7 linked regions of the Cricetulus griseus genome follow. The protein of the gene in region 7 binds, or shares a complex with, the protein of the main gene of each other region. Links are inferred from orthologs where the notes say so. Each region holds a gene or a part of one and is shown on either strand. Other genes may lie near its edges. The genes, in order: Med21, Med8, Med31, Med18, Med25, Med1 and Med13.

Evidence for each region.
Region 1: Med13 (region 7) and Med21 share a complex: the UniProt entries of both Homo sapiens proteins name them as parts of the mediator complex. The link is inferred for Cricetulus griseus from reciprocal best matches to the Homo sapiens genes MED13 and MED21.
Region 2: Med13 (region 7) and Med8 share a complex: the UniProt entries of both Homo sapiens proteins name them as parts of the mediator complex. The link is inferred for Cricetulus griseus from reciprocal best matches to the Homo sapiens genes MED13 and MED8.
Region 3: Med13 (region 7) and Med31 share a complex: the UniProt entries of both Homo sapiens proteins name them as parts of the mediator complex. The link is inferred for Cricetulus griseus from reciprocal best matches to the Homo sapiens genes MED13 and MED31.
Region 4: Med13 (region 7) and Med18 share a complex: the UniProt entries of both Homo sapiens proteins name them as parts of the mediator complex. The link is inferred for Cricetulus griseus from reciprocal best matches to the Homo sapiens genes MED13 and MED18.
Region 5: Med13 (region 7) and Med25 share a complex: the UniProt entries of both Homo sapiens proteins name them as parts of the mediator complex. The link is inferred for Cricetulus griseus from reciprocal best matches to the Homo sapiens genes MED13 and MED25.
Region 6: Med13 (region 7) and Med1 share a complex: the UniProt entries of both Homo sapiens proteins name them as parts of the mediator complex. The link is inferred for Cricetulus griseus from reciprocal best matches to the Homo sapiens genes MED13 and MED1.

What each region holds. Positions count from the first base shown.
Region 1 is NC_048601.1:3,053,536-3,056,921, forward strand, and holds the end of Med21 (mediator of RNA polymerase II transcription subunit 21), read right to left. Parts: intron 3,283-3,386; coding exon 3,168-3,282; intron 1,833-3,167; coding exon 1,732-1,832; intron 962-1,731; coding exon 785-961; 3' UTR 501-784; downstream 1-500. UniProt on the Homo sapiens protein: Component of the Mediator complex, a coactivator involved in the regulated transcription of nearly all RNA polymerase II-dependent genes.
Region 2 is NC_048595.1:33,902,819-33,906,994, reverse strand, and holds the start of Med8 (mediator of RNA polymerase II transcription subunit 8), read left to right. Parts: upstream 1-1,376; 5' UTR 1,377-1,391; coding exon 1,392-1,424; intron 1,425-2,055; coding exon 2,056-2,174; intron 2,175-3,026; coding exon 3,027-3,171; intron 3,172-3,744; coding exon 3,745-3,885; intron 3,886-4,065; coding exon 4,066-4,147; intron 4,148-4,176. Other genes in the region: KICSTOR complex protein SZT2, read right to left, coding at 325-351. UniProt on the Homo sapiens protein: Component of the Mediator complex, a coactivator involved in the regulated transcription of nearly all RNA polymerase II-dependent genes.
Region 3 is NC_048600.1:86,054,533-86,058,494, forward strand, and holds the start of Med31 (mediator of RNA polymerase II transcription subunit 31), read right to left. Parts: upstream 2,801-3,962; 5' UTR 2,659-2,800; coding exon 2,631-2,658; intron 1,635-2,630; coding exon 1,557-1,634; intron 1,286-1,556; coding exon 1,189-1,285; intron 1-1,188. Other genes in the region: uncharacterized protein C17orf100 homolog, read left to right, coding at 3,019-3,420. UniProt on the Homo sapiens protein: Component of the Mediator complex, a coactivator involved in the regulated transcription of nearly all RNA polymerase II-dependent genes.
Region 4 is NC_048595.1:20,799,995-20,804,293, reverse strand, and holds the start of Med18 (mediator of RNA polymerase II transcription subunit 18), read right to left. Parts: upstream 2,801-4,299; 5' UTR 2,647-2,800; intron 1,966-2,646; exon of another isoform or gene 1,911-1,965; 5' UTR 1,882-1,910; coding exon 1,809-1,881; intron 1-1,808. UniProt on the Homo sapiens protein: Component of the Mediator complex, a coactivator involved in the regulated transcription of nearly all RNA polymerase II-dependent genes.
Region 5 is NC_048599.1:153,725,702-153,729,902, forward strand, and holds the start of Med25 (mediator of RNA polymerase II transcription subunit 25), read right to left. Parts: upstream 2,801-4,201; 5' UTR 2,732-2,800; coding exon 2,598-2,731; intron 2,519-2,597; coding exon 2,473-2,518; intron 2,361-2,472; coding exon 2,236-2,360; intron 1-2,235. UniProt on the Homo sapiens protein: Component of the Mediator complex, a coactivator involved in the regulated transcription of nearly all RNA polymerase II-dependent genes.
Region 6 is NC_048600.1:111,310,312-111,314,273, forward strand, and holds the start of Med1 (mediator of RNA polymerase II transcription subunit 1), read right to left. Parts: upstream 2,801-3,962; 5' UTR 2,588-2,800; coding exon 2,563-2,587; intron 2,442-2,562; exon of another isoform or gene 2,171-2,441; intron 1-2,170. UniProt on the Homo sapiens protein: Component of the Mediator complex, a coactivator involved in the regulated transcription of nearly all RNA polymerase II-dependent genes.
Region 7 is NC_048600.1:99,532,909-99,536,408, forward strand, and holds part of Med13 (mediator of RNA polymerase II transcription subunit 13), read right to left. Parts: intron 3,075-3,500; coding exon 2,851-3,074; intron 2,170-2,850; coding exon 1,980-2,169; intron 888-1,979; coding exon 431-887; intron 1-430. UniProt on the Homo sapiens protein: Component of the Mediator complex, a coactivator involved in the regulated transcription of nearly all RNA polymerase II-dependent genes.

The sequences.
Region 1 (3,386 bases), on a different chromosome or scaffold from region 7:
TTCTCTATCCTCAGTGAGGAGAGGCGGCAGTCTGAGGCTTGGTGGGGAGCTCGAGGATCAGCCCTTTCACCTGAGGTAGAGGTGAGAGCTAGTGGCCGGCTACTTTCTCTGATCTTCAGCTTGAACCCCAATATCAGTCTCTGGGTTTTTATTAATTGTGTTACACTAGAATGTGTGACACTCTGAAGAAGAAAGCTTTCAGGTGACTGTCTATTTCCTATCTGCTCTAATAGTTTCTTAAAAAGACTTTCAGAAACTTTTGCTCAAAGATATAAACTTACATGGTGCCATCTTTAAGGAGGGGGACACTATCTAAATTGAAATGTCCCATATCATGGCCTTTAAGGCTATGCTGACCTGTGGATGGGCTGCAATCATACAATGTCTGTCAGAACCGGGGAATATGGCCTAGTGACAAAGTGCTTACCTAGCATACACAAGGCCTGGATTCCATTCTGTACTGCACAAAACAAGAAAAACAACACATGCAAAACATCAGAGAGCTGTATTGTATAGCTTTTTAATTATAGCATGAACATTAGTACAGTATCTACCTTGAAAATTCTAGTCAGATAGATAAAAAAATGACATGATGTTTGAGGATGACTCAATTGCAATCGCAATCTTAAAGCTTTTTAATATCGAGAGTGAAAACTAGTAAAAAAGGAAACAGTCACAGCGTATGATGCCCCCCAGCTGTTGGAGGGACTTAAGCCCATATCTGAGGCGGTATTCTTAGTGCCCTTCAAACAGTTATTTTCTCAGTCACCTGTTTCTGTTGTTGCTAGGAATCTGGAAGCGACTGGCTACGGGTGACACTTCTGGTCTTCAGTTGTGACTGTGCAATGTCGGCAAGCGCACTTTGGATCTTTTCCAGAAGCATGTCTCCCCGATAAACAACATCCTCCAGACATGTAGCAGCTTCATGATTTTCTTCTTCTAGCTTATATAAGCTAGCAGCCTTCATAAGACATGAATTTTAATATGCTCAGAGATGAAATGCAGAGAAACTAAAGTACAAGTATTTATTTTAAAATCAGAATGGTTTTCCAATCATTTTTTTATCTTTAGTAACAGATAATTCTAAATACCTATTTAATTTTTCTCTATGACTTATTAGAAGACTAATTTTCTTTCTTTCTTTTTTTTTAAAAAGATGCATGTATTCATTATGTATACAGTGTTCTGCCTGCATGTATCCCTGCAGGTCAGAAGAGGGCACCAGATCTCATTACAGATTGTGTGAGCCACCATGTGGTTGCTAGGAATTGAACTCAGGACCTCTGGAAGAACAGTCAGTGCTCTTAACCTCTGAGCCATCTCTCCAGCCCTGAAGACTAATTTTCAATCAGAATATATAGGTGTTTGCTTGTACATTGCTTGTAGACGTTACTTTGCTCCACTTTCAGTAAGGGCATTAGGAGACTTCTGCCTAAGATTAAATTGCTCAGTGTCAATACTGCCTCGAATACACATGATCTGATCTTTTAGGTCAAAACTGGACAACTATTCAGCACAATCTTCAGAGGCTGTTTTAGTTCACAATTATAGAGTGTTTGCCTGCTATGTGAGACCCTAGATTTGACCACAAAACAAGCAAAAAACCAACCACAATCAAACAAAACCCAAAATACCTTCCAATTAAACTTTAGTCCTAATTTGAATGCCATACCTCCTTTAATTCAAAGTTCTCTATCACTACTACTTTTATGAAAAGAAAGGAGTTTTCACCTGTAAAGCAGCTGTCGACTCTTCGCTGGGTAAGGAATCTATCAAAACATCAATATCTTTCGCTGTTCGTGCAATCAGTGCTGCAAAAAGCTGGGCATACTCTGAAAAAAAAAAAAAAACAACATTAAGTTAAATTAGCAAAACCTTACATTTTCACAAGCACAAATTATAAATTAATAAAACTAGAAAAGTTCAGCTTTCTAATATAATCCTAATGGTGAAAGTATAATTTTAGTATATCAGTACTATTTATACCCTTAACATTAATTCAAACTGGGAATTAGCATAGAATGTCATTTTATATACTAGGACAACATTTTGGTACCTTGAGCAAATGAACCCATAAATGAGATCCTTTTTTTTACTAAGGTCATACAAGCAAAACTCAGTTCAATCTATACAGTTTATAATTAATATAAGCCTCAATGTGTTTATTTGGGACTAAAGGGCTGGGGGACCAGGTGAAACAGAAATTCAGTCTTCATAAGCTCTCCTCTAAGGGAGTAACAATCTTTTATTGAAGTGAATAGAATCATGAGGCACATGAATTGAGCTGATAAACTCATTCCTTGACCAATGAGATAGCTTTGCAGATAAGGGCATGTAGTTGCATGTTTTCTGTCTCACCCGCCAGTTTATAATTGTTTGGCTGATAACTCAGACTTCTTACTGGCCTTTCTTTCCTTTCTTTTCCTTCCTTCCTTCCTTCCTTTTCTTTCTTTCTTTCTTGAGACTGGGTTTCTCTGTATTGCTTTGAAGGCTATCCTGGAACTGGCTCTGTAGACCAGGTTGGCTTTGAACTCATAGAGATGTACCTGCCTCTGCCTCCCCAGTGCTAGGATTAAAGGCGTGTGCTACCAATGCCAGGCTTTTTACATATAAATTAACCCATTTTTACTAATCTATGTATCATTTAAGATTTATTTACTTATTATGTATACAGTGTTCTGGCATGCCTCATTACAAATGGTTATGAGCCATCATGTGATTGCTGGGAATTGAACTCAGGACCACTGGAAGAGCAGCCAGTACTCCTAACCTCTGAGCCATCTCTCCGGCCCCCTCTCTCTGCATCTTTGTTTGGATTTCCCACCTAGTTATATTCTGCCTGGTCACTGGCCAAAACAGCTTTATTCATCAACCAAAAAAAGCAACACTTATTCATAGCATACAGAAGGACCTCCCACATTGCTACCAAGTCTAAGGACCACAGTGTGATCCCCAGAATCCACATGGTGAAAGGAGAGAACAGGTCTGGAACCTATGACCTCTTATAAGCATACTATAGCAGGCCTGCCCACATACACACCAAGTAAATAAATGCTAAAAAATCATTTATGGAAAAACATAGAGCAATGCACTTCAACCACAGTCACAGTTTTACAAAGGAGCTATAAATTGTAGAAGGAATGTTAGTCAAACTAAGGAGACCTCACCTTCTGTGGGATTGGCGGGTTGGTCTTTATTAATTGCTGTTTGAATGTTACTAAAAGAGGCAGGAGGACCACATTGCTGTAATACTCCAATGGCGTTACAAAACTGATCTGCAAGCTTGAAAAAAAAAAGAAAAAAAATCAAGGTTACAAAAAGAGTTGTCAATTTTATGGATTTTATGAGATATGGCAACAATTTCTTCATAATAATGATCTCTAAGC
Region 2 (4,176 bases), on a different chromosome or scaffold from region 7:
GACTGCTGTGACGGTTGCAGGGCTTTTCCAAAAAGCATGGACGCTAAAGCGAAATCAACTCATGCTATTGATTACATTCCAGTTGATGAGCTACAAAAACCCGCAAAGTCGGTCAGCTTCAGCGTGGCCCAATGAAAATCGCAACTAATACCCCAAACACGAAGTTTTGTCATTACAACCATCTCTAGATCTGTGGGTGGGAGATGAGGATCAGGATGACATCTGAGTAAACAAAACAGCTACGGCCTCCTCGAGGCTCCGGAGGGTGGAGGCTGCTACGCGCCTGCCCTCTGGGCCTCGGTCCCGCGCCCGCCCGCCCCTCACCTCTGGCTCCGGGCGCTCCGAGGCCATCACACAGCCCTCCCGCGCCGGCCCGGGCCAGGGAGGATGCTCCACTCCTGACCTCTGACCCAGCTAGCTCGGTACCGGGCAGGAACCGGAAGTCGTAGGGATGGCCGCGTTCTGAGTTTTTTGATTGGTGGGCACAGACGGCGGCGCGAGAAACCGGAAGAGGAAGTGGTTGCGCCAACCGGGCCGTGGCAATGCAGGTGAGAAGCCGGTTGGGCCTCCCAGCCGCTAGCCACCGGCTGGAGGGTGGGCGGGCCGAGGACTCTGGGAAGTTGGAGCTGTGAGGATAGGGCAGAGGCCTCGGCTGTTTGGGGAAAGGCGGCGAAGCCGGAAGGGACGAGGACAGCTGCGGGGGGCGCGGGGATTTAGCGCGCTAACGCCAGAGGGTCAGAGGCGTGGGTTAGGGGGAAAGGCACGGCCGACTTGCTTGACTGTGTGAAAGGATCGAATTGGCATTTGGGAAGGCTAGAGAAAGAAGTGGGCTGGGACAGCCCTCGACCTCGACTGTTGGGCACAGGCGCAACAAGGCTTCAGAAGGCTGAAGGGATTGTGGGCCGCCAAGGACGAAAACTAAGCAGTTTGTAATCCGAGGCTGTGGGTGGAACCTAGTATCCAACCTCATCCTTCACATTCTCGGGTTTGCAAATCAGCTTTGTGTCATTCTTCCCGCCTTGTACCCCGTTGCTTAGGGCGCAGAAGTGGAGTAAATAGACCACAGATGGTCAAACGGAAACCCTCTGCCAACACAGCATTTAAAATTGTCTAACGTCCAGAAAGAATGTGTTGGTTTCCTCGCCTTTGTCTTCCATTACTCAGTTTGTTGCACCTGGTATTCCTACAGTGACTGTTTATGGGTCACCCGAGTTTACGAAAGAGACACTGGAATACTGGCACAGAGATGCAGGAGTACACATTGACTCAGCAAAGGACCAGTTGGGGAGGGGAGCTGCAGAGCTGGTGTTCAGAGACAGCCTCAGATACGGGCAAAATGTGAGATTCTCCAGATTGTGTTGAGAGTAGCTGCACTCACAGGGCAGAGGATAATGGCTTGCATGTACTATAGAGGCACCCATGAGGTAATGAGATAATGAACCTCAGGTGTGCCTTCTGGCCTTATATGCCGACAGCACCCCTGTTACCTTGGCAAACCTTTCTAACATGTACTGAACTTTCTGAAAGAAATGTGGCAATACCAACTCCACAGAATGACACAATACAAGGATTCTCTATATGCCCAAGGAAAGCAGAGTTAGGACATCAAGCAGCTGCGTGGTAGGCAGACTGTTTTCCAGAAAAGGCTAGACTTAACAAAGAAGATTGTGCTTTGGCTTGAGCATCTGCAGATTAAGAGAATGTTGGCTTTTAAGAGAGGCAGTCTTTTGAGCTGGGAGGAGAAGAGAATCGAAGTGAAAAGATGAAGGGCTAAGTGATAAACAGTTCTAAGCCAGTTTTGTTATGAAGACAAAATGGTGAGGTCATAAGCAGAAGGGAATTAGGTCTGGTGTAATGTTCCTTTTGAAGGGCCATAGTGTAGGAGGTTGATAGAAGGAATCAATTGGTAAGAGGACTTCAGGCCAGGTGAACAGGTTGAAAGGTCTAAGGGTTGATGCTGTCTGTAACCCAAATACCAAGATAGAAACCAATTTAGCTTTTCTGTATGTGCCACGATCGCTCGTATCTGAGTAACCAAGCATACTGTTGATGCAGAGGGAGGAGAAGCAGCTTGAGGCATCCTTAGATGCACTGCTGAATCAAGTGGCCGATCTGAAGAATTCACTGGGGAGTTTCATTTACAAGTTGGAAAACGAGTATGACCGGCTGACTTGGTAAGGATTGCCAGGGCAAGCCGGGGAGGGAATCCATGGGTGGTGGGGCCAAGCCCCCGGGCTGACAGGACATCTCCAATGATGTAACTATTTATCAGTTTGCAAATATCCTTTTTGATTTGGCAAGAACTAGGTTGCCCAACATTGACAAGTATAGTTTGGCTTAAAGCCTCCATGGCAAGGAAGTAGAGAAATGCCCAGTTTCCCAACGTAGGCTGTTTCGAGGTTTTAATTCTTACGCTTTGACTTCTTTGGTGAGGAGGTGTTCCCCCAGTGGGGAACCATTAAAGCTATATTCATGCTGGATCTCCTTCCACAGATGTGGCTGAATCTGAGATCCACCCTACTCTGGAATGATGGATTCTGTTAACTAGGCTAGAAAGGAGGCTTTTATCCACTTAAAGAATTTTTAGTTACCACAGTGTAACCACAGTTTCTGTTTTCCACTACCTCCAATCCCATTCAAACAATGAGTTACGACTGGCAGTGGTGGCACACACCTTTAATTCCAGCACTCAGGAGGCAAAGGCAGGTGGATTTCTGTGATTTTGAGGCCATTCTGGTCTACAGAGTGAGTTCCAGGACATCCAGGGCTACACAGAGAAACCCTGCCCCCTCACCCCCCCAAAAGGAAAAGAGTTGCTTTTTTTCTACGTCTGTGTGTCCGTGTTGGAAATTGACAGTGTGCTCCTCTTTCCCAACTCCATCATCTCTGCTAGAAAATCTGGTTCTTGCCTAGGCTAGTCATAGGGCTGTGAGTCTTCTGGGGGTGAGTCTGGGTGTTCCAGCATTAGAACTTTAGAGATTACTTTATAGGGAAAAGTAGTTCTGATGACTTCCTACCACCCGCAGGCCCTCTGTCCTGGATAGCTTTGCATTGCTCTCTGGACAGTTGAACACTCTGAACAAGGTCTTAAAGCATGAGAAGACACCACTGTTCCGTAACCAGGTCATCATCCCTTTGGTGCTGTCCCCAGATCGAGATGAAGACCTCATGGTAAGAAGAAAGGATTGAACCAGGGAAATCAGGTCCTTAAATGAAAGTCTGGAGCACAGTTGTTGATTGGACCCTCTGTATAGCAATGAAAAGTAGGGGCTGCTATCTGGAAGACTTGCTTTTTTGTCCTTCTGGAGTCAGGAGTCACTCTTAAATAATGTTGTGAAAGCCAAGGCCATGTCAACTAAGTCCATGACCTTTCTTTTCCAAAAAAAAGTCTGTTCTGCTTGCCTGTAACTTTGTCCAATCAGTCTTTAAAATGTGGGGTTAGGAATTTAGCTCAGTGGTAGAAAAAAGTCCTGGTTTGGTCCCCAGAATGGGGGTGGGGAATCACGAAAGACCAAAACAAAATAGAAACAACAACAAAAAGAAAATTACAGTGCGGTTGTGGAGGGTGGAATTTATTTTGTCCTAGTTCTGATAGAGTGTATGTGAAAAGACAAAGCCACAGAAAGCTACATTTGTGTCTCAGGTTGTGTTGTCTCTAAAAATGCAGTTTCCCACGGAAGAGAAACTGGGTTAGAATCGGCTTACTTGGATAGCACAATAGGATCAATACAATCTGTGTTACAGCGTCAGACTGAAGGACGAGTGCCTGTTTTCAGCCATGAGGTCGTCCCTGACCATTTGAGAACCAAGCCTGACCCTGAAGTTGAAGAGCAGGAGAAGCAGCTGACAACAGATGCTGCCAGAATTGGTGCTGATGCAGCTCAGGTTGGACTGAGTCACTGCCCTGCTGCCCCATCCCCATCCCTTCATAAGAAGCAAGACTTTACCAAGCCTGGGTAGTAGGAGTCTGTGGTTGGTTACAGCTAGGCTGCCTTTGGAAGAGCACAAGGAAGATGCTTTCCCAGAGTCATTTCTAATCACTACATCAATTCCTGTGTGTTGCAGAAGCAGATCCAGAGCTTGAATAAAATGTGCTCAAACCTTTTGGAGAAAATTAGCAAAGAGGAACGAGAATCAGAGAGTGGAGGTAAGGAGGCTGGTTGGCAGAACAGAGTG
Region 3 (3,962 bases), about 13 Mb from region 7:
GCACTGTTATAACAGCCTAATAACTTAAAAGTCTCTCCTTCAGATTCCTAAAGGAATCAATAATTGCATCATAAAGAGCAAATCCGGTGCAATCTGTTCTACAGGCAGTCCAGGATCAATTCAGAAAAGTGACTAGGATATAAAGAAAAGGCTTGAAATGTTTCCCTCTAATTTTTAAGATAGGGTCTATGTAGCCTTGACTGGCCTGAAACTTGCTACATAACTAAGCTGGCCTAAAACTCACCGGGATCTGCCGGATCTTCCTGAGAGCAGGGATTAAAGGGGCATCAGGCTAAAATTTCTGGGTTTGTTGTTGTTGTTGTTGTCCACCCTTTTAGGGGAGGGGGAGTTCAAGACAGGGTTTACCTGTGTAGCCCTAGCTGTCCTGGAAGTAGCTTTGTACACCAGGCTGGCCTTGAACTCAGAGATCTATCCACCTCCACCTCTACCTCTCAAATGCTGGGATTAAAGGTGTGTACCAGCTTGTTTTTCTTTTTTAATTAAGACAAAGCAGAGGGGTGAGTTCAAGGTTTTGTTTTACCATTCAAAGGGATAGCTGTGTAGTTGTGATGTTTCTCACAATTGTCTATCAAACAACTTGACAGTGTTCATGTTTGTCTTTCTTTTGTTTACAGTGAGTTAATGTGCACGATACATTTAGCACAGTACTTGACACATAGGAAACTATAAAGAAGACAGTAAGTCTAAGACTCCCAGAAAACACCACTTCTTATATGTTCATTTTCAGCTTATGGCTATACCACTACATTTTAGTAGTTTATAGGTTGGAAGGCATTAGAAACCCAGAGAGACAAGGGGAATGCTAAATGACAAGTTCAGACAGACCAAATCAAATCAGAGTCTTACTCTAAAACTAGTTACTGGATTTTATCCTACATGAATAGAAGTGGCATGTTCTGATTTATACTACTAAGACAGTAAATTGGTTTTGACAGACAACTGTTTGGCTTTGTTTGGTTTGAAGGGAGTGAGGTAAGAATGACAGCAGAAATAAGTGAGATTACTGTAACAATTCAAATTAGAAATGACAATGACATGACATGAACTAAAAGCAGAAAAATTCAAAACATAGTTTGCCATTCTGACACCGAGAAAACTGCTAAATATAAGCACTTCGTATTTATAATAAAGTATACACAGATTTAAGATTATAAAAATTAAACTTACTTTAGATACTTGGCATATTCTGGTTCTTTCCAGTAAAGCAAGTACTTAAGATAATTTACAAAAGCTTTGTCTTTGAAGTAACCTCTTTGGGCAAGAACTGAAAGGCATAAAGAAACAATCTGTATGTCAACCAACTGCTGGACTACTGACTTGTAATCGCTACAATAAAGTAGCTCTTTTAACATTCCTACCATCAAAACACAAGGAATTAAAAAACACAAGTCCTTGTTTGCTCAGTTAATAACTACAGACCATCGAAAGTAAAATCCCATTCAAACATACCGAAGTAAATACTATTATGAATTCCATCTCTTCTGTCAGAAATCATTAACAGCTAGCTACTCAACTTAATGATGTACTCGACTTACAATTAAGGTAATTTGGGTTGGCTAAACATTGCACAAATTCCAACTCCAACTGAAACCGAAGTCGATTTCCAGCATCATCTAGGAGAAAAAAGTAAAAGACACCCAAAATAAAAGTCACGATACCAATGATTTGTAGAAACAAAAACAAACTGCCAGTGAGACTGCTCAGCATGTAAAGGTGCTCACAGAAAAGTCTGATGACCTGAGCTCCATCCCTGGAACCCGCAGGGTTGCAGGAACAGTAGACTCCTGCAAGTTGTCCTCTGACCTCGGCATGCACCGCCCACCCCCATAGGAATGAATTTATGAAACAAATACCAAACTGCAGGAGAGATTTCCTTAGAAATCTCAGAGTGGAGCCTGGTTTAAAACAAAACAAGCCGAGTGGTGCATGCCTTTAATCCCAGTTCTTGTAAGGGGGAGGCAGGAGGATCTCTGTGAATTCCAGGCCAGCCTGGTATACATAGCCAGTTCCAGGCTAGGCAGTAGTACATAGTGAGACCCTGTCTTCAAAACAAAACAAAGATAATAAATTACCTAAAGTTAGTTGAGAAAAATAAACGAAACGGCTATTTAAGGCCACTATGGGAGGATGGTAACAGAGATCACTGGTTGGTCTGTAATAGCTGTGCCACCCCCAATGTTAGCGTTACAACCACAACTACTAACAGTGATTAAGTTAAACAAAAACAAAGTGCTAAATAAAAGCAGGAAGCAAGATGCAAAATGATTAAACAGCGGGGAGGAGACGGTAATCCGTATCAGAACCATACACGTTACAAACATTTCAAGCAAGTTCACGGGAAAAGCTCCATAGAGCAGACAATTGAAGGGCTCGGTCCTCTCCCTCAGTCCCACCCCGGCCCGCGAGCCAGGGAGTGGAGGTGTGAGCAGCCCAGGAGCAAAGATGTCGTTCACACAGGCCACAATCAGAGACAACACCGCCTTCTCCCCCACCGATCCCAACTCCTTAAGGATGCCGGGTTAAGCCCGAAAGACGGCGCGGGGAAACCGGAGAGAAGGGGGGAGGACCCGTTCCCTCGGTGAAGACTCCAGGAGCACGACACCACGAACCTGTCTCCATAGCGACGGCCGCGGCCATAACCAGAGAGGAGAGAGACGCGAACACAACCAGCCCGACCCAACCGCGGCTTCAAATGGTGAGGGAGGATCCGGAAGCCACGGCTCTTATTTCCGGTCGCGGGGCATGTGGGACGCGAGGGCGGAGACAGCCTCCTTCTGAGGAGAGAGGCCCCGCCTATCTGTGTGGTCTGGGCCGGCAGCCTGAGCAATTATCTAGCGGCGCGTGCTGGAAGAGCTCGTTGCTCGCAGATCCTATGTGGCCCGCAGCAGCCTACACTGACGTAGCTCATCACCCTGACGTCACCGTCCCTTGTGTGACGTGACACAGAGCATGAGTCTTGGGCCTCTGTGTCCCTTCTGACCTGGGTGTGCCAGCAGGATGGCCTCGCCCCTTAGGAGTAAATCCTTCGCCCCGCGAGTGGAAAGCACCCGCCAAAAGGAAACGTCGACTATCCGCGTGGAGACGTCGTCCCACCGCGAGGAAACGTCATCCCACCGCGTGGAGACGTCCTCCCGGCAGGTTCGAACGTCTTCTCGTCAGGTGGAGACCTCTCAGCGCCACCGAGAGGGACCCTCCCTGACCTCCTCCGCGAAGCGACTCCCTAGATTCCTCGAGGTATCCTCCCAGCACGTGGAAACCTCCTCGCAGTGCACGGAGACGTCCTCCAGCCACGTCAGGGCGTCGTCATCCCTGCGGGTGGAGACGACTGTGCACCGTGTAGAGAGCCCAGCCAGGAGGGACAAGCAAACAGCTCGCCAGAGTGCCAAAATGACCCGATGAAGTGGCCATGGCCCTTAGCCAGCACTGAAGTGTTTCCATTTGCCAGCCAGCCAGCTTCCAGGAGAGCCAAGCATCTTTGGTTTCATGGAAACAGCCTGTAAATCAATGTAAGAAACAGGCTGTGGTTTCTGGGTGCTGCCAACATGTATTGAGATTGCATCACCTTAGACCACCCTGCTGTTGACCCAGTGTACTATTTAACTCGAAGCCAGCACAGAAGGGCTTCAGACTTGCGGTGCGTATATACTCGGCTGATGATGGACAAAGAGGCTCTTTGAGTCTCTGCACCAGGTAAGTTTCGTAGCCTGAGGTCCCTCTAGAATGGTTTGACCACTTGAAATTTGCGAAGAAGGACCAAACTTGTCATGAATTCATGACCACTGGCTTGATTATATAGTGCTTGAAACCAATAGAACAAAGAATCATCTTTCATGGATTATTAATTGACCTTTATTTGTATTTCATAATAAGCTTTCCTATGTTAAGTTTTTATACACAGTACTCCACATACAGGCTTTTATTATTTTTTAAATAGGTCAGGG
Region 4 (4,299 bases), on a different chromosome or scaffold from region 7:
TCTACTGCTCCTGCAGAGGACCAGAGTTCAGTTCCCAGCACCCACATCAGGCAGCTCACAACTGTCTGTAACTCCAGGTCCAGGGGATCCAACGCCCTCTTCTGGACTCGGCATGGACATGATACACATAAACCCAAACAGGCAATCACACAAATAAATGAAAGATATTTGCCACTTCGGAGGCAGAGGCAAATGGAGCTCTGCGAGTTGGAGGCCAGCCTGGTCTACATAGTGAGTTCTAGGACAGCCAGGACTACCCAAAGAAACTCTGTCTTGAAAAACCAAAAATAAGTAAACAAATAAAAACAAACAAACAAATAAATACAAAGATAAAGGACAACTGCCCAAGGACAAAAATTAAATGTTTACTCGGTAACATTTTAGAGGGACCAATGTGACGGCTCAGTGGGTAGAGGTGCTTGCTGCCAAGCCTGATGACCTGAGTTCAATCCTTGATACCCACCTAATGAAGGGAAAGAACTAACTCCCACATGTCCCCTGACCTCTACAGGTGTGTTGTGGCAAGCACAAGGCCGCTCCCAAACAAATAAAATGTAATAGAAAAATCTAATTAAATCCAGTACAAATATCAAGCCTGAGGACTTGAGTTCAATCCCCCACCCACACAGTGGCAGAGAAATGACTCCCACAAAATATGCAAGAGCGCCTGTATACACGTGCGTATATACACATACACACACATTTCAAAAATAAATAAAGCTTAACTCTGCCTACTAAATATATTGTATGATCTCCTAAAAAAGTCAGCATTCTCTTTGGGTCTTGTTTTATCATTGAGCCTTTATCTCTGTCTTCTGGGCTTTAGGACAGAGCTAAAAAAAATAAAATAAAATTTAGGGGTCATTACAAGACTCAAGCAAAAGCCGGGTGGTGGTGGCACACGCCTTTAATCCCAGCACTTGGGAGGCAGAGGCAGGTAGATGTCTATGAGTTCAAGGCCAGCCTGGTTTACATTGCAGGCCAACCAGGGATATATATAAAGTGAGACCCTGTCTTCAAAACCAAAACCAAACGAACAAGCAAACAAACTACCCCCTAAGAGTCAAGTAAGTAGATACAATGCTTGAGATACTCAGTGCAGAATAGAGATTCGGAAACAGGAACTTAGCACGGCCTGGTAGCCTAGGTCTGCAATTCTAGCTAATAAGGAGTCCAGGGCTATCTAAGACCCTGTTTCCAAAAATACAAAAACCATGTAAATATAAGACATAATTCTGTCAAGGATATAATGCCAAGTAAAAGAAACCTGTCACAAACCAGTCATTTCACTTCTTTGGGGCATCTAAGCAGTGGATGAAGAAAACAAGGTGTGGAGGTGATCAGTGTCAGTCGAGAGGCAGAAAAAGTAAAGATGAAAGAAAATGAAGCAGGGGGGTGATGGTGCACACCTTTAATCCCAGCACTTGGGAGTTTGAGGCCATCGTGGTCTACAGAGTGAGTTCCAAGACAGCCAGGGCTACAGAGAAACCCTGTCTTGAAAAGCCAAAAAGAAAAAGAAAAAAGAAAAGGCAATTGTTTATGGTGCATCTCGTTAAACCCAGGTACCTGAGGCCAGACTGGTCTGTGTGGTGAATTTCTGGCCACTGAGTCAACCTTCCCACCCTACCTCCTTTAAACATACTTACAGGGAGACAGAAACTGTGTGGTTGACTTTGTTAGCTTTATCTCTACTTACTCTGACCAAAAAAGAAAAGGAAGGAAGGAAGGAAGGAAGGAAGGAAGGAAGGAAGGAAGGAAGGAAGGAAGGAAAAACTTGGCAATTAATGCAAGCTCCCTGGCTCACTTACCCTGCAGGAGGTACTCCATCATGTTAATGGTGCCCCCAGTGACTGGCATCATGGTGACTGGAGGGGCCTCCATGGTGACGGTCAGGTAAACACGGGATACACCTGGAAGAGTCACACTTGTTTGTACACTGGAGCGGTTAGTAGCGTGGCTCCGGCACTGAAATCAAGACTCAGGCATTCAGAACTTCGCATTTATTTATACAGCCCGCTCCATGAACAGGCGACACAGAAACAAGGGTTCTGGCCACGGAGATACGGCGTAACCTTCTAATCTCAAATTCTGAACCCTCTAAGTTTCCTAGGTAATCTTGAGGCAGCTGTGCAACCTCTTTTTCTGGAACTTACTCTTTTAAATAAGACTAGGGGCATTTAACCGCCCAGCCTCCCTCCCCCAGCTACGTGGCTCAAACGAAACAACCGACATACAACTAAATTCAGAAAAAGTAGAGTCACCTTTAGGCTACACAGAGGCCCCGTTTGCAAACATAAATAAAAGCTGGCCGTGCTGGGGCACATCTGTAATCCTAACGCTCGACAACAGAGTTAGGAAGACGGCTGCAGGTTCGAGGCCAGACTGGTCTACCTAGCAAGTTCCGGCCAACCGGGGAATCGCAGTGAGACCTCTAAAAACCCAAAACAGAAGATCCGAAGGCGACCTAAGGACCTTCACCCTAGGCGGACGCCAAGGAGACTCAGGGAGAGGCGCCAGGGTACACGGGGGTCCGCCTGGAACAGGGCTCGGCCTTTTTCCCCTTTTCAAACGAGCCAGGCGGGAAGCGTGACTAAAGTGACGGCACCGGTCCTCCCACGCCGGGATCCCGGGCACGTGTGCACTTACACTAGCAACACGCCTCCGTGCACGCCGCAGCTCCCCGCGAAGCTGGAATTAAGTCCACGCTTGCACACTCGCACCCACAGATACCAAAATCCCGCCAGAGAAGATGCAGGCATCCGCCTTCCGCACTTCCGGCAGGAAGCTGACGGACAGGAAACCTAGGCCCTGAAGCGCCGAGAAGTAAGGGTGCCGAGAGGGCCAGGAATGAGCCTGCCTCCTGGCACCGGGGGCAAGAGCGCATGTGCGAAGTGCGGCGCTGCCTTGCGAGGGGGTCCTGGTCTGGAGCGGTGCGCTGGGGATAACTGCAGGGCCTTACGTCATAGGGCAGCTCTAGGATAAGTGGCGCTCTCCCCCACAGCTCCGACGACCTGGGTGTCTTGATCAGATCTCTCCAAACTGATTGGATACTATGTTTAAATTGTGAACTGAGCCACTGGGGAAAGAGCCGCATTGATAGCATCAGATAGCTCAAGGTGACAGAGGTCTGATGCGCTCCCCAGCTAAGCACAGCGTTGTGCCTGTATGGGCCTCAGTGCTAACACTGAATGTTTTGTGTGTTTTCAAAGGTCTGGAGAAATAGCTCAGTGCTAGACCCTTTCCCTGGCCTGTGCAAACTTAATACAACAGCAAACTTGTATAATTTCCTGTACAAACCTCAACTTTACGTACAGGGAACCATGCGGGGCGTTGGTGACGCACGCCTTTAATCCCAGCGCTCCCGAGGCAGAAGCAGGCGGATCTCTGTGAGTTCGAGGCCAGCCTTGTCTACAGAGTGAGTTCCGGGACAGCCTCCAAAGCTACACAGAAAAAACCTGTCTTGAAAAACCAAATAAAGGAATGAATGAATGAATGAATGAATGAATGAATGCAGGGGACCAGGCACAGTCTGAATCAGAACTCGGAAGGCTGTGGTAAGAATCTCTCCAGCAGAACTGTTCAAGACTTAAACAACATTGTGAGACTTTTCAAAAATAAATAAATAGGGGAGAGGCTCAGCAGTTAAGAGCACTTGCTGCTTTTTTTTTTTTTTTTTTTTTTTTTTTTTTTTGGGGGGAAAGGTTTCGAGACAGGGTTTCTCTGTGGCTTTGGAGGCTGTCCTGGAACTAGCTCTTGTAGACCAGGCTGGTCTCGAACTCACAGAGATCCACCTGCCTCTGCCTCTGCCTCCCGAGTGCTGGGATTAAAGGCGTGTGCCACCACTGCCCGGCTTTTTTTTTTTTAATCATTTTTAAAGATTTTATTTATTAATTATGTATAGAATATTCTGCTTCCATGTATATCTGCACACCAGAAGAGGGCACCAGATCTCATTACAGATGGTTGTGAGCCACCATGTAGTTGCTGGGAATTGAACTCAGGACCTCTGGAAGAGCAGGCAGTGCTCTTAACCTCTGAGCCATCTCTCCAGCCCTCTAATAACACTTGTAATGCAACATTTTTATTTATTTTTTTATTTTTTTGGTTTTTCAAGACAGGGTTTCTCTGTGTAGCTTTGGAGCCTATCCTGGCACTCGCTCTGGAGACCAGGCTGGCCTCGAACTCACAGAGATCCACCTGCCTCTGCCTCTCGAGTGCTGGGACTAAAGGCGTGTGCCACCAACGCCCAGCGTAATGCAACATTTTTAAAGATTAATGAAAAAAAAAAAAAAAAAGATT
Region 5 (4,201 bases), on a different chromosome or scaffold from region 7:
CGTTGCTGTCAGGGACATATCCGAAGTAAGTGTCTTCAATGCTTATGTGCTTCCCAAATGTCAGGCTACATTCCTGTGTGAGCTGTGCTAGTCATAGTAAGGTAGTCAGGAATCCATCTCGTGAAGCCCGGAAGGACCAAACACCCCCACCACACCTGCTGGTGCTGCACCACGACCGCCACCAAAGCCCATGTAAAGAGGTGGCTTCATGAAGACAGAAGGAAAAACACCTTGGAAAAATAAAATGGGACTTATAATTTAAAAAAAAAGGAAGAAAAGAAAAAGAACTCAGCCAGGTGGCAGTGGCACACACCTTTAATCTCAGCACTCAGAGGCTCCAAAACTACACAGGGAAACCCTGTCTTAAAAAAAATCAAAAATCAAAACAAAATAAACAAACAAGCCCAGAGCAAGGCTGTGTCCTAATTGTACTGTGCACCTTGTCTCCAAGCACCATCATCAACAGCAGAAGGAGAGTGTTCTCAAGCAGGGACAAGTCCTGCTGACTCTCATTTCCATTCCAGTCCTGCCCAGAGCATCCTGGACATGGGTCACGGCCCTTGGTCAGAACAGTGACCCTGGGAGAGTAAAACAATGCTGAACTACCTAACAGTAGCAGAGGCCTCCAAACTGGGGACACTTGTAGCTACAGGATTTTAAGTGTACAAGTGGGGAACACAGTGCAGTCCAGACAGTATCTCCCTTTTATCTTCAAGTACCCATAGTCAGCCTTTTTCCTAAGGGAGGGCCACTCTTCCTGCAGTCTGCACCAGGAAGGTCCGGTGTCTTTGAGGAGCTTTCAAGCAGCCATCACTCATTGTTTACACAGATTTCTCCTTAAGCCTTGTAGGAGCAAAACCCTACTTGGAAGCAGTCTAGAGGAGGAACAGCAGGTACTGGACTTCCACTGAGGTCCAGAAGCAGAGGCAGTGACAGGTAGCAGAGGACAATTGGCTCATAAGAAAAGTCACACAAGTTCCCTGCACAGAAATGGACACAGGAGACTTAACAGCCAATCAGGAGTTCAATAGAACTGAGTTGGCTGGCACTGGCCCTCAGACTCACGCCTAACCAAATGTGAGAGAGGCCTCACATACACCAACCCTGACATGCAGCAGTGTGGACCTTGGGGCTTCACAGAACTCCAGATGGTTGTTACTCAAGTCTCACTTCAATCTAGCCCAGCAGTTCTTAACTAAGGTGCCATCTGCCCTCTAGCTGGCCTCAAACTCACTGAGATCCACCAGCCTCTGACTTCTGAGTGCTGGGAAGAAAGGCGTGCACTACTGCAGCCTGGCAATATAAATAAAAATCTTAAAGAACACTGGCTGCAGCCAGGCGTTGGTGGCACACGCCTTTAACCCCAGCACTCAGGATGCAGAGGCAGGTGGCTCTCTGTGAATTCAAGGCCAGCCTGGTCTCCAGAGCGAGTGCCAGGATAGGCTCCAAAGCCACACAGAGAAACCCAGTCTCGAAAAACCAAAAAAAAAAAAAAAGAAAGAAACCACACTGGCTGCTCCTCCAGAGGGCCCAGGTTGTATTCCCAGCACCAAAATGGCAGCTCACACTGTTTAACTCCAGTTCCAAAGGATCTGATACCCTCTTTTGGCCTCCAAGGGCACCAGACACACAAGAGGTAAACAGGCATGCATGGATGCAAAACACTTGCACAAGTTAAACAAAAATAAACCAGTCTTCTTAACAAAACTTGAGTGCTAAGTGTCAACAATGGCTAGCATGGGAAGCCATGCTTTACATAAATTCCCAGTCCAGACAATCTCCAAGTGGAGTGCATGCACACACACACACACACACACACACACACACAACACACACAAAAAAAAAAAAAAAAAAAAAAAAAAAACCGGAACACAGCAGGCATTCAAAGCACACCTGCTTCACCAAGTCAGGACGGTTAAGAACCGGTTGGGACTAGATCAGCACTGTCAAATGACCCTTGACCACAACTAGATTGTGGATTCCACATGAAAAGATTAGCTTCAGAGACCCTTCCTGCACCCAGCAGTCTACACTGCTACTCATTTGCAAACCAAGCACAAGAACAGGGCAAGCAGTAATTGCAGACACTCACACCCTAGCAGGCTGTGGTGGTCTGTACCCAGGGATCCCACTGCCTGGGTAGCCCATTCTTGCTTGGAACAAGACAGACTCGCACAGACCCACGCTGAGTTCTGCTGGGGTCCCCAATCTGCCCAAAATGAAGGAAAAGCTCACTTGATGCCATTGAGCCAAGTGACAAACTCATAGGCGCTGCTGGTAGGAGCATGACATTGTACGTAGGACTCTGGGGCGCAGTCCACTGTGTTGAACACCACAAGGCTGTACTGGGTTCCACCATACTGAGAGGACAGGACAAAAGAACTTTAAAACGGAGGTCTTTGGAACAGGGCCTCCCAACCTCAGACCAGGTCCACACCCAGCCTCCTCCCCGTGCCGCGGCCACAGACTCACGTCTCCACCGAAGTCCGTCTCTGCGGGTGGTCCCCCGTTGAAGTACCTGCGAAGACAGGAGGAAATGCAGCGTCCGTGCGAGCCGCAGGTCAGGGCGGAGGGAGACGACGAGGGCCCTCACTCACTCTATGGCGGGCAGAAGGTAGTGGTCGCGGAGCTCATCGAAGTACGGCCCCAGGTTTGCTGTTCCCTCGATCACAAACACCACGTCGGCCACCAGGCCCCCGGCCCGAGCCGGGCCCTCGGATCCGGGGACCATGCCCCGCGCCGCCGCCGCCAGCGCCGCAGCTGCCGTTGCGGTCCCGGGACGAACAGAAGTGCGCCTGCGTGATGCGCTCACCCGCGCCGGACGTCTGGCAACCTCCGCTGAAGCTAACGCGGCCATGTTTGTGCGGGGCATCCGGGGAGTGGTGGTTTTATCTCTACCCTGGCGATTCCCACACCAGGAAATTATCAGAACGGGCACCACAAACCCCTCTGGGGGACTCTTGAGAACTAACAAACTTTTGTCCACAACATCAAGCACGAAATAAATCGGAAAACGGCATATCCGGTCACCATCTTGGAGTCGGCCTCCAGTTTCCGACTCGGAGCTGAAGGGGGAAGTTTGTGGAGCCAGGTTGCTAGGCAACGCGTACCCAGCCGTTGTGTTCTCACACGGAGATTAAGTTAATAAATTCTAGTCTTTCTCACAGGGAACAGATGGGAGAGAGCGGTCCAATCACATCTTCGGAAACGGCGTTGCCAGGCAACACTGTAACGTTGCAGACGACTTGGAAACCAGGGCAGTTGTTTTCGCTCAGAAAGAAGCGAATTCCAACTTAAGTGGAGGTTGCTAAGCAACACCTGATCCCTGTTTTCTGAGAAAGAAGCCAGTAACTGGTTCAAAGCAAATACATTCCTAATAAACAGATAAACAAATAAATAAATAAATGAGTCACTCGGCATTGCAGCCAACGTCATGAATATAAAATGACCTGGAAAATTACTGTAACATGTGTGGACAGAGGGGTGCTGGAGCCTTGAATCCTTGAATCCCAGCACAGTGGACACAAGCAGATCTCTGAGTTTGAGGCCAGCCAAGTCTACAGCGAGTATCAGGACAGACATGGCTGTACAGAGAAAACTTGTCTCAAAAAAGGAAAACAGAGAAAAGATTAGGAAAAGAGCTGAACCAGGCGTCGGTGGCACACGTCTTTAATCCCAGCGCTCAGGAGGCAGAGAGAGGCGGATCTCTGAGTTCCAGGCCAGCCTGATCTACAGAGTGAGCTCCAGAATAGCAGAATAGTCAAGGCTCCGCAGAGAAACTCCTCCGTTTTGAAAAAACAAAACAAGCAAACAACAACAAAAAAAGAGAAAGATACAAACACATTTTAAAATGTGAGTGTTGGGAAATCTGAACTTCGGTTCTCATGCTTGCGTTGTATCATTTTCCCAGCTCCTGGTTTTTGATGGAGTTTTGTTTGTTTTTTATTTTTATTTTTTTGTTTTGTTTTCTTCACCCCACTCCACCCCCGAAACAGAGTTTCTCTGTGGATGTTGTCACAATCAGCTTTTTGTTTTTTAAGGTTTATTTTTGCTTTATGTACATGAATATCTCTCTGCATGTACTTAAATGCCACATGCTTGTAGTACTCATGGAGATCAGAAGATAGAATTAAGAGTTAAAGGAGACTGTGAGCTGTCATGTGGGTGCTGAATACTGAACTTAGTTCCTTTAAAAGCGCAA
Region 6 (3,962 bases), about 12 Mb from region 7:
AGACAGGCGGATCTCTGAGTTCAAGCCCAGCCTGGTCTACAGAGTGAATTATAGGACAGCCAGGGCTACACAGAGAAACACTGTCTTGAAAACAACAACAACAAAATAACTACAGACTAATCTACATAAGGAAACCTTGTCTCAAAAAGGATACTAAAAACCAAGGGGCTAGAAAAATGGCTCAGTAGTTAAGAGCTCTAGCTGCTCTTCAAGAGGATGTGGTTAGATTCCTAGCATCCATACAGAAACTCACAAACATATCCAACTCTAGTTCCAGGGGATCTGACACCCCTGGGGGGCGGGGTAGGATGGAAAGGTGGGGAATGGGGGATTGATATGTAAATAAGAGTGCTTCTAAAATTTAAAAACAAATAAATAAAATACTACTAGTAACAAAAGCAAAACGAACCTTTTTATTATTAATGTCTTTATGTCTATGTATGTTGTATAAGTGCTGAGTACAGTGCCTGTGAGGGTCAGAGGAAAACTTGCTGTCCTTGCCTTGGATCTCCCCAGCCCAAAAGTGGTTTGTTTGTGGTCACAGTTGAACACATAAAGATCCATTTGCCTCTGCTTCTTCAGCACTGGGATCAAAGCAGTGTTCCACAATTCCCAACCTATGCTTTTAAGAACACCAGCTGAAAGCCGGATGGTGGTGGCACAAGGCACCAGCTATGCACATGGTACCCAGAAATACATAAAGACAAAACAACTACACACATAAAATACATACTTCTTTAAAAATTACTTATATGTGACTTTTTATTGCCTGCATGTATGTTCATCATGTCTGTGCAATACTCAAGAGGCCAGAAGGTGGCAACCAGGACCCCTAGGACTAGAGTTACAGATGGTTGTGAGCTGCATGTGGGAGTGTGCGTTCTGGGAAGCAAGGGCTCCTCATCACTCAGACACACTGGGAAGTGAGGGCTCTTAATCTCACTCAGACAGACTGACAGACTGACAGACAGACAGACAGACAGACACACACACACACACACACACACACACACACACACACACACACACACACACACACACAGAGCTCCCTCTTCCCTTTTTGAGATTGTGTCTCATAGCCCATGCTGACTTCCCGGTCTATCTGGCAGAGGATGATCTTGAGGGCTCACAAGATGGCTCAGTGTGAATTAAGGCACCTGCTGCCAAAACATGTAAACTGAGTTCTATCCTCAGAGTCCACACATGGAGAGATAACTGACTCCTGCCAGTTGTCCTTTGATGGCCACATTTACCCTGTGGCAGGCAGATGGCTTCACGCACAAACAAATAAATGAATGTGAGGAATGCCCTTGGCCTCCTGATGCTCCTACCTCTACCCCCTCTGTGAGGCTGAAACCAGCCTGGTCTACAGAGCAGTTCTAGAACAGACAGGAACCCTGCCTTGAAAAATAAATAAATAATCTCCTTACATAGTTCCATATTTTCACAACCAGCATGCACACAAATACTAAGACTAGACTCCTCATAAGAGAGGGGAAAAAAGTGCTATTGGTTTAAGTATGCTTATTTTGCAATCCAGTTCCCTACAACTGTCATGACTTCACTTGGCTGAGCCAGTTGATATGAGTTAACGTAGTGGGGAAAGGATCTAAACCAAGATTCAAACTCTTTCGAGAACCTAGCTGGGTGGTGGTGGCGCCCACCTTTGATCCCAGCACTCGGGAAGCAGAGGAACAGGATCTCTTGAGTTAAGAGACCAGCCTGGTCTACAGAGTGAGTTCCAGGACAGCCTCCAATGCTACAGAGAAACCCTGTCTGGAGAAAAAAAAAAAAAAAGCGAAAACTACAAAAACAACAAAAAGTAAACAAAAAAATCAACCAAACAAACAAACAAACAAAAAACTTAGCTGATCCAGAGGGTACAGGTTTGTAAGCCAGGACTAGGGAGGTTGAGGCAGGAAGATTATCCTGAGTTGAAGGCTAACCTGGGCTTCGTGGGAAATCCTTGTCTCAAAACAAAACAAAAAAAGATTCAATCTCTTCCTTTTTCTGCCCTCTTCTGGGGAAGTGGTTTGGGGATTGTGCCTAACACATTCTCCCAATTTCTCTTTAAAGCCACGCTATCCAAGCACAATTAGAGGAGCAGCTTTTAAATTCGCAACGCGGGGCTTGAGCAGTGACATTTCGGGGAAGAAACCGAAGGCCTCACCGTGTCACTCACACTAGGACACCCTGGATCACCCTGACACCTTGCTCTTCTGTCTCTACTGTCACCCTCAGATACCGCTGCTGGAACAAAGAGTAAACAAGTGTCCACGTCACTCTCCTCATGTCCCACCAGGTTGAGCTACCCCGAGGCTCGACTGCTCCGTCCCTAGTCAGGCAGAAAGCCGTCCACAAAGCGGGAGGGGAGGCGAGGCGAGGGGAGGCCACCTCAGAGTCGGCGCCCCGCAGCCTCCTCGGGCGCAGTCGGAACCTGACACACGCTCCGCGGGGACCCTTTCCGGGCGCCGCGGCCCGGGGGGCGTGGGTCCCACTTCTCTCGCCGATTGGCTCCCCGCCGCTGAGTCCCGCCCCTCCGACCCCCCCTCAGCCACTCACCCTCGGTTTCCCCCTGAGCCTTCATCCTGACAGCCGCGAGGCCTCGGGCCGGCCAGGGGAGCGTGAGCCTTTCCCCACGGCCGGGAGCGGAACCAGGCTGTCCTGAGCTCCGGGGGAGCGGCGCCGCAGCGGCCCCCGCGCTTCCGGGGAGGGCTCAGTCTGAAGTCCCCGGCGGCAAGAAGAGAAGGGAGCTCGCGGCCGCCGCCATCTTCCCCAACGGAACTTCCCAAAGATCGCGAGATTAATCGTGTTCCTGCGCGACAGAGGAAGAAGAAAAAAAAAAAAAAAAGTACTAAAATCTCGCGAAAATTGGCTGGCTCGTCTTTGCCGCGGGATTTCTAGCCGGCCGTCACCGATTGGCTCGTGCTCACGGCTTCGCGTTTTAAGTGTGATCCCGGAGAGTCGGCGTCTCCTCTCAACCTAATGCTTGCTTCCCTTCTGCCTTCCTTTCCCCTTCCTTCTTTCTCTCTCTTTCTTCTTTCTCTCCGGTTTTTTTGTTTGTTTTCTTGAGACAGGGTTTCTCTGTGTAGGTTTGGAGCCTATCCTGGCACCCGCTTTGGAGACCAGGCTGGCCTCGAACTCACAGAGATCCTCCTGCCTCCGCCTCCCGAGTGCTGGGATTAAAGGCGTGCATCACCAACGCCCAGCGAATTTTTAACAATTTCATAATTATTAATGGGAATTTAGATTAAAGCAGTTTTATTTGTTCCAGTTACCACGTGTCTGACTCCACCACAATTATCATTGTGTCACATTTTATTACACCAGTGAAAATATACAGCTTAACTACTTCTCTACAATATGAATGACAAAAATGTCTTCAGTCGGGGCTGGAGGGATGGCCCAGAGGTTAAGAGCACCGACTGCTCTTCCAGGGGTCCTGAGTTCAATTCCCAGCAACCACATGGTGGCTCACAACCATCCGCTATAAGATCTGGTGCCCTCTTCTGGTGTGCAGATATACATGGAAGCAGAATGTTGTATACATAATAAATAAAATCTTTTTTAAAAAATGCTTAGTGACCACTATTCTGAGAGTAACTTAAAAAAAAAATGTCTTCAGTCAACGTCTTGTTGATAGGACTCTATCCAACTCAAGCATGGCGAACATGGCTCTGGCAGGCCTTGCCCTTCTCCCCCTAGAGAGCTCTCAGAGTCCCAGAACTTATAAATTTATTGGAATGACTTATAGGCTACTGTCGAGCTAATTCAACAATTTCTGAATCTGCTGGAATCCTAAGAATTAGACTCCAGTGCCAGAGAAGGAATGGATGTGCTCACAAGGCAAGGGTAAGCAGGTGGAGAATGAACAATCCCTCCCTTCTTCCATGTCCTTTACAGACTTCCAGCAGAAGGTATGGCCCAGATTAAAGGTATGACTTCCTATCTCAAAATCTGGA
Region 7 (3,500 bases):
TTTATTATAATTTTATACATAAAATACTTAACATGATTGAACTAAATTCCACAATAAGAACAAGAAGCACTTTATATTCATTTATGACTGTCTTAAGATTAAAAAAAAGGGGGGGCAGGCATTGGTGGCACACACCTTTAGTACCAGCACTCAGGAGGCAGAGGCAGGAGGATCTCTTTGAGTTCAAGACCAACCTGATCTCCAGAGCAAGTGCCAGGATAGGCTCCAAAGCTACACAGAGAAACCCTGTCTGGAAAAACCAAAACAAACAAACAAAAGATACAAAGAGACACCATAGATTCTGAATTTCCACAAACTTAAATTTGCTTTTATCTTTTCATACACTGTCCACAGGCTTCAAGCAGGCTAAACCCATGCTACTTACTGCTCAACTATCTCTCAACCCCAAGCATCAGTATCTTAAAAATACCTTTCTGACACATCAGGATGTGGCTGAGTGGGAAGCGAGGCTGACTCGCCTGACATTCCTGCTGCCTGCAGAGATGATGACTGCTGTCCTCCCAGCTGGCCACTCTGAACTGTACTTGTTTGTGCAGACATGGATCCTGAACCACTAGTGTTCATACTGCCAAAGGGTGGAAATGAAGGCAGTTTATTTGATGACACTCCACTACTCATATTGGAAGATGATGAAGATGAAGTTGTGGTCAAAGTTGAATTAGCTGTGGCAACTGAAGTAGATATGGCAACACCTGAAGTCATTGTCATAGTGCTACTTGCCGCAGATGCTAAGGTGGCAGATGGAGTATTAGCGTTTCCAGTATTTGTCATCTGAGGTGCAGTAAGCAAAGACTGATTTGTAGGGGCAACTAAATTTGGCTGGGAGAGCAGAGAGCTGTCCAACGGCTGAGAAGCAAGATATGGACCTAAAGAACAAAAAACGGGTATTTAATTCTTGGTTTCACTGACTTATTTTTATTCTACTAAAGAAATAACAATTTAGTTGATACTTTCATGGCAATTATCTTCCCTTAACTGTTTTACTAACAGTGTAGCATGTAATAGCTTTCTATTTTCTCCCAGAAACTAAAGAAACAAGTTTAAAATGGAACTATAAAAGTAAACCTGCATTTTCATTCAAATTTAAGATAATCAATATGAAAATGTAAGAAAATTTTATTTCCTGGGCAAAATTAGATGTAAACAAAGGCTGACAAGATGGCTCAGTGATTAAGTTAATCCCCAGGAAGCACATGGTAGAAAGAGAACCAACGCTGCAAGTAGCTTTCTGACTTCCACTGATTCAGGTGCATATACCCAACATACTCCAGTAAATGTTAATAAAAAAATCAGAACACATCAACAAGCGTGACAGCAGTATGTAACAATTTTTCATCAAATCACTGCAAGTGTTATTAAGTATTATTTCTTCACAAAGTGAAGAAATACTGTCCAAACTGACAGCTAACTAAAATATAAAATGGAGGAATAGTACCATGAAGCTCAATTTACAAAAATGTCTAAGTTCAGTAATTTGGTATTACATCTCTTTGGATAAATGTAAAAAAGTTCACTGGTATTTAAAAGTACAAAAAGGTTTTAAATAACAGTCATTCTCTTAGCCACAATAAGACTTTTTCTGGAGTTGCATAGTTGACTTAGAAATTACATGCATCTGAATTATTAACAAATCGTAGATCTTGAAGTGCGTAAAACATCAGATCCCACAGAAGTAGCAGAAAATATTTTGGAATCCATAATGTCTACTTGAGAGGATGCCCACATACGAAGCAAACGGAATTTCTATGTGGACAGTCAGACAGTACATATTTAACTTTGAAACCACAGCCTTTGCCACATCTACTCAGTTCTGACTTTACAGGACAAAAGCAGGCAGAGACAGCGTGTTTGAAAAATGGAGATGGCTACATGACACTAGGATATTATTTACAAAAATAGATGATGAACCAAGCCACAATGCTCACACTACTCTTGTAGAATGAATACAAATTTATTACCTAAATCATATCTGCAGACTTGTGCATAAAGCTTGAGCTTAGAAAATGCTTCATTGTTACCATCAGCTGCCTGAGAAAACCATTCTGTTACAAACTTTTCTGAAAGCTTCTTTGATGCAGTAGCTCCCACTTTCATGATCCCATCCGTCAACAGTCGAGAAATAGGTCTGTGTTGGCCCAATCGACAGGACTACAAATACATATATAAAAGGTAGACTCAGGGAATCTATTATACTATTAGGGTACAGATATTAAATTAAAAACTCAATCTATTTAAAACAAGCTTTATTACTTATAATTAACAACTGAGTCAAAACACCATGGGTAAGTATGCAGACACTGGTCATCTTCCTTTAGGAATTTCAAGCTGCTGCTTTGCACTCCCCTCCCCTGCCCCCTGCCCCCAACCCACACACACACAGCTCAGGTAGCCCAAGCTGGTCTCAAACTTTCTATGTAGTTAAGGATGACCAAGAATTTCTGATCTTCCTGCCTTCATCTCCCGAATGCTGGAATTATAAGCATATACCACCATCCCTAGTAATACGGTTTTTCCAAGATATGGTATTCACTGTGAAGGCCAGACTGGCCTGGAGACTTTCCGGTTTCAACTACCTCAGTACAAGAGTTACAGATATGCACCACCACACCCAACATACCAAGGGTTACTTTAAATATAACACATATGCCCTCGATGGGTCCCTCCTATACTATGTTTTCCACTGTGACCCAAGGCACACATACCTAACAGAGACTAGCAAAAATGTGGAAGAGTATAGTTTCCTAGTAAGACAACTGACAAAAATCAGCATTTTTCATCAGCCAGTAGAATTCCCCAGTATAATTTAAACATAAATTATAAAATACCTACCTCATATATTGCAGTAAGATCTCTAAAAAAGCTTTTGGCTCCATTTAACAACGCTTCATTCTCTGGACAGAGTACAACATAGGCTATATCTCTTTGAGATCCATATGGTTCCAGCATAAGTTTCTCCCAGTAAGGGAGAGCAAATGGAGAAAGCACCAGAAAATCGTAATCATAACCCAACAAAAACGTGGGAATTGGCAGTGGTTCTGGAGATTCGTCAGTTCCTAATAAAGAAGGAAATTAGGAAAAAGCCAGTTCATGTCATCTTTATTTCCAAAGCTAATAAATAGATTATTAGGAAAATATTAAAGACAGAAACATATAAAGCTAGCAATGACATATTTTCAGAATTAAAAATATCCTTAGGTGCTCATTTTAAAACATTTCCTGCTATTTTGTTTAGGGCAATCTTGTTCTATAAACAGTCAGATCGAACTTGCAGCAAGCCTCCTTCCCTTGGCCTGTTAAATGCTGGGATTATAGGCACAAGTCATCACACTTGTCATTAATTAATTTAAAAGTAAACTTATTTATAATTAATATGATGAATAATTTGTTTACCATAAAGACTTACGAGAAAAATCATAAGATATACTATGTAACATTGTATACATGTCAACTATACTATATTTTATTTCTTAAAACTTGGT